Linked DNA regions of Ovis aries. The protein of the gene in region 1 interacts with the protein of each later gene in a biochemical or structural test. Links are inferred from orthologs where the notes say so. Each region holds a gene or a part of one and is shown on either strand. Other genes may lie near its edges.

Evidence for each region.
Region 2: of the proteins of MTOR (region 1) and RPS6KB1, one has a biochemical effect on the other in vitro, tested with the Homo sapiens proteins (18 studies listed by BioGRID and IntAct, with this or other methods). The link is inferred for Ovis aries from reciprocal best matches to the Homo sapiens genes MTOR and RPS6KB1.
Region 3: the proteins of MTOR (region 1) and STAT3 form a complex in vitro, tested with the Homo sapiens proteins (2 studies listed by BioGRID, with this or other methods). The link is inferred for Ovis aries from reciprocal best matches to the Homo sapiens genes MTOR and STAT3.

What each region holds. Positions count from the first base shown.
Region 1 is NC_056065.1:41,762,787-41,766,469, forward strand, and holds part of MTOR (serine/threonine-protein kinase mTOR), read left to right. Parts: intron 1-350; coding exon 351-447; intron 448-2,335; coding exon 2,336-2,434; intron 2,435-2,727; coding exon 2,728-2,850; intron 2,851-3,060; coding exon 3,061-3,243; intron 3,244-3,651; coding exon 3,652-3,683. UniProt on the Homo sapiens protein: Serine/threonine protein kinase which is a central regulator of cellular metabolism, growth and survival in response to hormones, growth factors, nutrients, energy and stress signals.
Region 2 is NC_056064.1:10,567,561-10,571,243, reverse strand, and holds part of RPS6KB1 (ribosomal protein S6 kinase beta-1), read right to left. Parts: intron 3,006-3,683; coding exon 2,893-3,005; intron 2,083-2,892; coding exon 1,845-2,082; 3' UTR 538-1,844; coding exon of another isoform or gene 414-537; 3' UTR 1-413. UniProt on the Homo sapiens protein: Serine/threonine-protein kinase that acts downstream of mTOR signaling in response to growth factors and nutrients to promote cell proliferation, cell growth and cell cycle progression.
Region 3 is NC_056064.1:42,156,859-42,160,541, reverse strand, and holds part of STAT3 (signal transducer and activator of transcription 3), read left to right. Parts: intron 1-462; coding exon 463-546; intron 547-1,408; coding exon 1,409-1,507; intron 1,508-1,613; coding exon 1,614-1,749; intron 1,750-2,657; coding exon 2,658-2,710; intron 2,711-2,952; coding exon 2,953-3,047; intron 3,048-3,173; coding exon 3,174-3,313; intron 3,314-3,610; coding exon 3,611-3,683. UniProt on the Homo sapiens protein: Signal transducer and transcription activator that mediates cellular responses to interleukins, KITLG/SCF, LEP and other growth factors. Once activated, recruits coactivators, such as NCOA1 or MED1, to the promoter region of the target gene.

The DNA.
Region 1 (3,683 bases):
GGGGTTTCCCGGCTAAGTGCCAAGTTTGCTAGTTACTGCTGTGTTAGAGGCAACTCTTCCTACACATGCAAAGCTTATCCATGGACTCATCTCTTAGATGTATGAGCTGGTGGCATGGTGATCCCTCCCTGTTGTCTAGAGTGGCAAGGCATTCCCTGGGGATGGTCTGTGTCCAGTCAGGCACTGCCAGCCACCACCACCACCCCACTCCTAAGTGCTCCCAAGACCAAGAACACTGGAGCCACTGCTCTGGGACCCCGCCAGCACTTCTCTTCAAGAGTCTCAAAGATGAGAAAACAGGCAAAACCTGGCAAATTAAAGTTTCTAAGATTTTCCTTTTTCTTTTCCAGAGTTCTCACCTTATGGTTTGATTATGGTCACTGGCCAGATGTAAATGAAGCCTTAGTGGAAGGGGTGAAAGCAATCCAGATTGACACTTGGTTACAGGTAAGGGCACTGGGTTACAGGTGAGGACATTGGGTTACAGGTGAGGGCAGGTAGATTTCAGGTGAGGACACTGGGGTACAGGTGGGGACAGGTGGATTTCAGGTGAGAGCACTGAGTTACAGGTGAGAGCACTGGGTTACAGGTGAGGACAGGTGGATTTCAGGTGAGGACAGGTGGATTTCAGGTGACACCAGGTTACAGGTGGGGACAGGTGGATTTCAGGTGAGAGCACTGGGTTACAGGTGAGGGCACTGGATTACAGGGGGGGACAGGTGGATTTCAGGTGAGGACACTGGGTTACAGGTGGGGACAGGTGGATTTCAGGTGAGAGCACTGAGTTACAGGTGAGAGCACTGGGTTACAGGTGAGGGCACTGGGTTACAGGTGAGGACAGGTGGATTTCAGGTGAGGACACTGGGTTACAGGTGGGGACAGGTGGATTTCAGGTGAGAGCACTGGGTTACAGGTGAGAGCACTGGGTTACAGGTGGGGACAGGTGGATTTCAGGTGAGGGCACTGGGTTACAGCTGAGGACACAGGGTTACAGGTGAGGGCACTGGGTTACAGGTGAGAACACTGGGTTACAGGTGAGGACAGGTGGATTTTAGGTGAGGACACTGGGTTACAGGTGAGGGCACTGGGTTACAGGTGAGGACAGGTGGATTTCAGGTGAGGACACTAGGTTACAGGTGGGGATAGGTAGATTTCAGGTGAGGACACTGGGTTACAAGTGAGGGCACTGGGTTGCAGGTGAGGGCACTGGGTTACAAGTGGGGCACTGGGTTATAGGTGAGGACAGGTGGATTTCAGGTGAAGGCACTGGGTTATAGGTGAGGACACTAGGTTACAGGTGGGGATAGGTAGATTTCAGGTGAGGACACTGGGTTACAAGTGAGGGCACTGGGTTACAGGTGAGAGCACTGGGTTACAAGTGAGGGCACTGGGTTGCAGGTGAGGGCACTGGGTTACAAGTGGGGCACTGGGTTATAGGTGAGGACAGGTGGATTTCAGGTGAAGGCACTGGGTTATAGGTGAGGATACTGGGTTACAGGTGAGGGCACTGGGTTACAGGTGAAAGCACTGGGTTACAGGTGAGGGCACTGGGTTACAGGTGGGGCACTGGGTTACAGGTGAGGACAGGTAGATTTCAGGTGAGGGCACTGGGTTACAGGTGAGGACATTGGGTTACAAGTGAGGGCACTGGGTTACAGGTGGGGCACTGGGTTACAGGTGAGGGCACTGGGTTACAGGTGGGGCACTGGGTTACAGGTGAGGACAGGTAGATTTCAGGTGAGGGCACTGGGTTACAGGTGGGGACAGGTGGATTTCAGGTGAGGGCATTGGGTTACAGGTGAGGGCACCAGGTTACAAGTGAGGACACAGGGTTACAGGTGAGAGCACTGAGTTACAGGTTGCGACAGGTGGATTTCAAGTGAGGGCACTAGGTTATAGGTGAGGACACTGGGTTACAGGTGAGGGCACTGGGTTATAGGTGAGTGCACTGGGTTACAAGTGGGGACAGGTGGATTTCAGGTGAGGGCACTGGGTTACAGGTGAGGGCACTGAGTTCCAGGGGGGGACAGGTGGATTTCAGGTGAGGGCACTGGGTTACTGGTGAGGATGGGTCAGGTCTTGCTCGTTGTCTCTCTTAGAATCATGCAGTGTTGAGAGGAGCACGCACTATACAATGGTAAGGAAGCAGCGATCCACCCCCAAGGTCAAGACTCCACATTTTCTTCAATTCCTTTAGAGAACTGAAAAGGATAAACCATTTCCATGCCCAGCAGTATCTATCAAACCAGTTGCAAGAGCTGTTCATGGCTCAGAAGAATAACTGGAGTTGTTTCCACATCTCATAGGCTGCATACTGTGTCTTTCTGAATATCAGGTTATACCTCAGCTCATTGCAAGAATTGATACGCCGAGGCCCCTGGTGGGACGTCTTATCCACCAGCTTCTCACAGACATTGGTCGGTACCACCCCCAGGTGCGTGGAGTCCCCGGGCACTTTTCCGTCTAACCACTGACCTTTGATTTGGCCATCAACCTTTCCTAAACCGCTCTAGGGACGCAAATGCCCCTGGGAGCCAAGAGTCCTGTCCTGCCCCCAGGAGCGTCTGCCCAGCTGACAGGCTCAGGGACCCAGGGTCTTCTGGGAAAGAAAAAATTCCGCCCAAGGCCACACAGCCCCTGCCTGGTAGACTTGGATGAGTGTCAGCACCATACTCTTGTCATCCTCCTTTTACACATTTGCAAACGCTCCTTCTGTGCTTGCTTCAGGCCCTCATCTACCCGCTGACAGTGGCCTCCAAGTCCACCACCACGGCCCGGCACAATGCAGCTAACAAAATCCTGAAGAACATGTGCGAACACAGCAACACCCTGGTGCAGCAGGCCATGATGGTGAGTCCAGGCAGACTCGAGCCACCAAGCAGAGGTCTCGAATGAGACGCTCGAGCCACCAAGCAGAGGTCTCGAGTGAGACGGCCTTCCTTCCTCAGGGCGAGGCCGTGTACTCCCTCTGCCGGAAGGAGTTCCTCCTGTTTCTCCGAGATGGGCCTTTCTGAGCTTAGCTCACCCTTAGCACGTCCCTCCATCCCCTTTCTGATCCAGGTGAGTGAGGAGCTGATCCGAGTGGCCATCCTCTGGCACGAGATGTGGCATGAAGGCCTGGAAGAGGCATCTCGCTTGTACTTTGGGGAGAGGAACGTGAAAGGCATGTTCGAGGTGCTGGAGCCCCTGCACGCCATGATGGAGCGGGGACCCCAGACACTGAAGGAAACATCATTTAACCAGGTATGGGATAAAAAAAGACATGAACTGACGGGACCCCAAAGTCTTTAGCAGACTCCTTTCCCTCTAACCTTTCTGCTGACTTGAATAAAATGTATTTTAATGGAGGGAGGTCACAGGATATAAAACACCAGAAATAGAATTGTCATGAAGTTACAAGAACCCTTCCAAAACTTTAACTAGAAAACCACGAGGTACCTCACAAGGCCATCTCGTCTTTCTTCCAACCTCACTTTACCTGAGAAGCCATCCTGAGGGTTGGGCTCCAGGACTGGAAAGCTGCCGAGCAACCCAGCCAGTGCCGTCCGGCCAGCATACCCTCCCGAGCAGTTCTGCTGCCTGCTGGGGACTCAGAGTTGGGCTTAGTCAACACAAGTGACACCTTATTCATTCTCCTGCTTCCCCTCTCAGGCATATGGTCGAGATTTAATGGAGGCCCAGGA
Region 2 (3,683 bases), on another chromosome or scaffold:
TCAAACTTTCTGTCCAAAGATGAGCTGTTATCAATTGTTTATTGCCACAACTGAAAAGGTGTATTTCCAATCATTTTTCATGATTCTATTTTTGCTTAATGTCATAGGATTTCACCTTATCTCACTTGAATTGCTGTTTAAGCAAAGCTTGTCTCTTTTCTGGTTGAATTCAACATGCATAAATAATTTTATGGCTTGGATCCTATGGCTCAAAAAGGTCTGGAGAACATAGCAAGCAGCATCTATTTAAAAAAATTGTAGGGTTGCAAAATATTACAAATTGACTTTGCGCACTCAGACTGAAGACATTATAAAAGACAAACAAAAGGAGGTGATAAGACTCAACTGCAACTGCATGATCATCTATTATACCAGTATGCACTGAAATACATTTTTATAAAGCTCTGCAGATATTAAACCCTTTCACCATCTACAGTCACGGAAATGCTCTTAAGGCAGGAAGTATTTAAGAAAGGTAAAGTTACCTTTATTTTTATTCTTTGTATCTGTGAATCACTTATGTAGACTTTGTTACAACTGCAAAAACATAGTGTCTTGTTAACATGTTTCCTAAATTAAGCCACTAAGTTTTATTCACTGTGGAAGACATTCATCAAAAGGCCATCAAATATTTTTATAAGCAAAAAATGTAGCCCCAATATAGGAGAAAAAAATCTTTTTTCCTTTTAAAACCATTGAGGAAGAAATATAAGGAAGGTAGACAGCAAAATCAGTAAAAAGAAGTAAAACTTAAAACCTTACCAAATTGCTGTAAAGACATTAGACACAAGAGAGTGGACCATGGCAACACCCTCTTCCCCTGGATTTCCCTCCTCTCCTCCTCTCTGCCGCCCCACGATACGCATTTTATCCTGACTCGCTTCTGTCCTTCAGCCACGGGCTGAACATGTTTGACGTCTTGAACTAAATACTGGTATAAAGTGGCGGTATTTTTCCAGTGCAATGCAGGCCCAGGATAAGGATGAAATGAAGGACATACAACTTATGCCCATTCCAAGGCTTCCAGTTAAGCTTAGCACAGAACAGTACTGCAAATAGAAATGATTAAGTAGATTCTTTTTTTTTTTTCTCCTAGTATTACAGACAGGTATTGCAGCTGGGTTACTGAAAATAAACCCCAAGTCCACCCCAATCCCTCAAACGAGCCACAGCTGTGGTTAACAATGATTCATTTGCATTTTTATTTCACCAAGAGAAGAAACAGAAGTTGTCTGGCTTTCTTCACACCAACCAATAATTTTGCATTTTTAAAGTTTGGGATGTTTTTCATAATGAGCTGAATCAAAAATCTATTTGAAAAATATATATTTATATAAAAAAAAGATTCAGGTTGTTTGCACGTAAAACATCAATTGATAAGTTTTTTTTCATCTTTGATTCCATGTTGCTGGAAAGTTTAACCAAGCTTGCATGCTAATTTGTCCTTAGTTGCAAGTATTATAGGCAAATTCATACTTTGCCTAATGGAAGGATAACCCTTCTTCGACATGATCAGGACTCAACAGTGATTCAGAAGCAACATCCTACCCTTAATACTGTCAGTTTCGAGCCATCAACATGAAAATCCTTGATAGGTTGAGACGATGTTGCTAGGAATCAATTAATTGATGTGCCTAAGAGTTCCGCTATTTTCACTTAAGTTTTTTTGCACCATTGATTGATTTTTTAAAATCCATGTTTAATTTTCTTCTGTCCAAAGTGTTCTATGTCATGACACTGACTCTTCGAGACTGTCATTTGAGTCTTCTTGTTTCACCCTGCAGGATGCTCACACATCCCCTCCCCACCTTTTTTGCCTTCAATTCATTAAAAGCATTGTTCTGTCATAGATTCATACGCAGGTGCTCTGGTCGTTTGGAGATCATGGGAAAAGCTTGCTTTTTGTACGGTCCGGAGTTTGGCTGTCGTATTGGAAGCGGTGCTGAAGCCTCCCCGCTCATTGTCACGTCCATCTGCTCTATCCCACTTGTCTCCATGGGGTATTCCACAGGCGTCTGCGGATTTGCCGTGCTGGCTGAAGCACCTCTTCCCCAGAAATCCCCAGGAGAAAATTTGACTGGGCTTTAAGACAAGGAAGAGCTATCATTTGTCTCAAGTACTATCTCAACAAGAAACATTTCCCTTACATTTAAAGCAAGTGGGGTAATGTGATTTTTTTTCAATTAATTTCCTTTTTGTATGGATTGGCACAGAGGCAGAAGTTGAGCCATCTCGCCCCTAGACTAATTGTTACTTTCCTAACTAGTCTCTTAACCTCCACACTTGCCCTCATAAAACCATCAGTGATACTTTAAAAAAAAAATTCATTTTTTACTCTCCTACTTAAAACAGCTTCTCATTGCATTTAAAATAAAATATTTCTCCAAACCTTTGCCATTTTCTTCCTCACTCACCACACTTTAGGAATGTTGACCTCCCTTTCATGGCCAAGAAGGCAGCCAAGTTTGTCCTCCTTGAGGACTTCCGCATGCACTTCCTCTGCCTGTAACACCCCCGTGCCTCTCTGTTCTGTATGGCTAGCTCCTTCATGAATAGGAGCCCCCATGTTGCTTCTTCAGGACGAGGACAATTCCTGTCATAACCATGTGTCCCTAGCACACAGCACAACCCCTGGTGCATAATAAATGTTGAATGAATGGTTAAAGAGGACACTTTCCAGTGCAGCAGCTTACTTTCAGGAGGGAAGGTAAACTATATAGCATTTTCTCATTGATTAGTCACAAACGGATGACTTGCAATATAAGAAGGTAGAGATGCTGTGCTTACACCAACCAAACAGGATGACAGATTTTCTATTTATGTAACTTGGCATAAATTTCTTAAACAATGTGCTTTCTTCTAGATTAAAAAATAATAACAAAGTCTGAATACCTGACAGGTGTTCGTGGGCTGCCAATAAATCTTCGAGGGGATCGGATTTTTGGTTCAAAGGAAAACTTTTCTTTCACGCTTTCAAGTACAGATGGAGCCACATATGTAAAACCCTGAAAGATAGTAACAGTGGACTACAGAATGTCGGGAAAATGTTTTGCTCGGTCTCTGACACACCAAGATAATGATGTACACCTAAAATCACCAATGTGATTACTCTCCAACCTCTTCAATCTCATTTCACACCCATTACCTTCCTTCCAGCCATTTCGAAAGAGGCATAGACCCCAAGACAGCAGAATTCTATTGAACCACAAAGGCCAGCAAACTAAATTTCACTGTATTAAAGAAGTAGAACAAAACAGGAAAAATACAGGCTCTTACATTAAGATGTTAAATACAAAGATATATGCAGAGAAATTCTACTGTTTCTAGCCACATACTTATAAGCAACTAACATTCTCATCCCCCAAACGGCTTCTCATTATTAGGCCAAAATAAAAACAGAATTCTCTAACTTGGTAATATGGTCTTTCTGGTTTTATGCTAATGATTGAATAGATTTGGATTTTCCTGACAAATAAAGGCCAACATTGTGAAAACTATTAACTGTAACAGGCAATAATGCAGTTTGGTAGCCTTAGTTCTTTCTTGGACCTGGCTATTAGGTTACCAGCCTATCATTTATCTTGCTGTTAATGTTCATCCCTGTAACAGTTAATCCTATACCTATCTTCCTTTCTATTATCCTTGTGACCTACAAGTAGGCACTTGACTTACTATAAAAAGAC
Region 3 (3,683 bases), on another chromosome or scaffold:
TGTATGAGATTCACAACCCCCCCCCCAAATTAAACAACACATACATTGTTTAGAGATATAAATGCAAGAAAACCATAAAGAAGGGCTAGGAAATGACAAACTCAAAAGACAAAATAGCAAGCACTTCTGAGGTAGGAGGCTCAGGGAGGGATGGAGTTGGGAAGGGCACTGAGAGAACCTCCGTGGTGATGGTCTCTGCCTTAAACTGGGGGTGTTCACTCTTGTGCCATTATGCTGTTCCCATTTTATCCATGAGCAGTCGGATCTCCATAGTATCATCATAAAGCCGGTAAGAGATCAGGTTGTAGATGAAAGCACTGGCGAGTCGGAGAGTTGGCAAGACCATGTGCTCCAGTTGTATCCATGGCCACCGGGCGGATTGCACCTCAGGACGGTGTAGTGAAGGCTGCCAGGACTCAATGCCATCCTCTCTGAGGAAAGGCATCCTTCTCATTCTTGTAGGCCTCCCTGATTGTGACCGAGGAGCTGCACCTGATCACCTTTGAGACTGAGGTGTATCACCAAGGCCTCAAGATCGACCTGGAGGTGAGTTCTGCACAGAACTGGGTAGAACTGCCTGCAGGATGGTTCAGGATGAGGCTTCTAGTCAGGGTTTTCACTCCAGAAGGTGGAATGATGACTCTTTACTCAGCACTGTGTTTACATTTGCTTCTTTTTCTCCAAGAATTCGTTAGTATCTTGCCTGAGTGCTTAGAAGATACGTGTCTACTCAGGTTCCAGCAAACTTGATGTAAAAACTTGTATTTAGGAATTGATTATAGCCAACTTTATACAGTTTGGGCAAAATAGTCTTTCAAACAATCGCGGCATTTACCTGCTCTTTCCCCAACTTTCTTGATCTTTAAATTAAAGATACACCTGAAAAAGCAAGAACCCTAGTCTTTGATTCCTGGGACCTCTCTATTAAATGGGCAGATACAGCTTCAGTACAGCAATGTGGGAGACTTGGGTTCGATTCCCCTGGGTTGGGAAGATCCCCTGGAGAAGGGAAAGGCTACCCACTCCAGTATCCTGGCCTGGAGAACTCCATGGACTGTATAGGCCATGGAGTCGCAGAGTTGGACACTACTGAGCAACTTGCACTCTTTTCACAGCTTCAATTCGTGAATGCCTTCCAAGTTTTATAAATGGGGAGTCTGTGGACTGTGAGTCCACTGTGAGGAGTCAGCTTTATAAATTCCTGGTGATACTCAGACAGCCCCTGAGTTCAGCCTACTCTCCACGCTGGGTGTCGAGCTGACCGGGCCCCACCGCTTCCTGAGGGCTGGCAGCAAGTGTACTCCACGACCTCTCCTTTTATTTCGAACCCTGCGAGATGCGGGTGAAGAGGTTTCTGGAGCCTCAAGGGCCCTCTGCCTCCCCAAATCATTGCCCGCTCCCTCCACAGACGCACTCATTGCCAGTGGTGGTGATCTCCAACATCTGTCAGATGCCCAACGCCTGGGCGTCCATCCTATGGTACAACATGCTGACCAACAACCCCAAGGTGAGTCGGGGGCCCGGGTTCTCCGGAGGCTCCTTGGTGCCTCGGGGCTGCCGCCCAGCAGGCGCCACCCTTTCATCTAAAGGAGCGAATGTGTCATTTCCAATAGAACGTGAACTTTTTCACCAAACCCCCGATCGGAACGTGGGATCAAGTGGCCGAGGTGCTGAGCTGGCAGTTCTCCTCTACCACCAAGCGCGGGCTGAGCATCGAGCAGTTGACGACGCTGGCGGAGAAGCTCTTAGGTCAGCCCTTGACCTCTCCTCCCTTTGCTCTCCTTGTAAAAGGAATCTGGCTCGTGGGGCTGTTCATTGAGGAGAGTTGACTGAGCAAGGCGCTGGGCAGAGCACGTGTGCTCCAGCAGGCCCTGGAGTCAGGTCGCAGCGGAGGTTTGCGGCTGGTGATCACTTTTATGAGACGGGAGGCAGATTTCTTTTCTGTTGGTGGCTGTCTCCCTGGGTACTTTGTCCAGCCTTAGGAAGGTATTTTAAATGTATGTTAGAGCTAAAGGCTTGGCATCCCTGTCTGTTTCTTCAAGAAAATGTAGCTTGTTTTTATTTTTTTTTCCTGGAAGAAAAAAGTCTTAGAATGTTTTACGTGCCATCTGTGCTTTGTCCTGCGCTGCCACTAAACATGGGCTACCCAGGTGCCTCAATGGTAAAGAATCCACCTGCCAATGCAGGAGACTTGGATTTGACCCTTGGGTCGGGAAGATCCCCTGGAGGAGGAAATGATAACCCACTCCAGTATTCTTGCCTGGGAAATCCCATGGAAAGGAACCTGGTAGGGCTACAGTCAGACATGACTGAGCGCCTGAACATGCATGACTAAACGTGACCCTGTAACTCAAGCTGTCAGCTTCTTAGTGTGTTCTGCTGATCCCCAGACTGCCACACGAGGCTAGAAAGGGCAGCAAGGACTTGATATATCACCTACCACCTCTGCTGAACAACAACTTAGGGGGCATCAAATGATGGGATTGGGTGTGTGGGAGGGGTGCATATGTATGCACGCAACAGTGGCAACATTCAAATACATGAAGAGCAAGTTTCAGGGCATGTTGTGGGACAGTTGTGTGTGTGTTCTATTTGAAGAAAGATCTGGATTTAAAACTGCAAATCCTATGACTTTTTTTTTTTTTTTTTAATTTCAGGACCTGGTGTGAACTATTCAGGGTGTCAGATCACATGGGCTAAATTTTGCAAAGTAAGCCACCGTGTGAACTCCATCCATGAGGCTGCCTCATAGGAGGAGGAGGGGGCAGGGACACTTAGCTGTGGGGATGTTGTGGAGGGCAGTGGGCCTGAAGGCCCCGGACTCTTGGTCTGGCGGCCAAGAGGACCTGCCTGAGGGTAGATGGGCTTGAGGATTTTGGTGGCACCTCACCCCCTTAAAGGAAGAGCCCAGGGAGGTGGGGAACTGAGCTTTCCCATTACTCTTTTCTCCAGGAAAACATGGCTGGCAAGGGCTTCTCCTTCTGGGTCTGGCTGGACAACATCATTGACCTGGTGAAAAAGTACATCCTGGCCCTTTGGAACGAAGGGTAGGTTGGAACTCTTGTGTCTGACAGAACACACAGGGGTGACAAGTCCCCTACTCTGCCAGCAGGCTGGCTGCATACCAGAGGTCCCTCAGCCCCAACCTTGCTGTTGCTCCTCTCTGTCTCCAGGTATATAATGGGCTTCATCAGCAAGGAGAGGGAACGGGCCATCTTGAGCACTAAGCCCCCAGGCACCTTCCTGTTGAGATTCAGTGAAAGCAGCAAAGAAGGAGGAGTCACCTTCACCTGGGTGGAGAAGGACATCAGCGGTAAGCTTAGCGATTCCGCACCCCAACTGGTGGCCAGCACGGCTGTGGCTGGCCTTGGCTGCTGCTAGTTTCAGGCACCTGCTGCCCCCTTGTGGGCGGGGATGGCCTCGCACTCCCCTGCCTCAGACTTGGAAGGTACCCGGTGATCAGTTTTATGAGATGGGAAGACTTGGCTTCTCTAAATTCTTCCAGCTGGAGGATTGGTTTGCCAGTTTTATTTTGCTCCCCGCAAGGGGCTAATCAGTTCAGTTCAGTCGCTCAGTCGTGTCTGACTCTTTGCAACCCCATGAATTGCAGCACACCAGGCCTCCCTGTCCATCACCAACTCCTGGAGTTCACTCAAACTCATGTCCATCGAATCGGTGAGGCC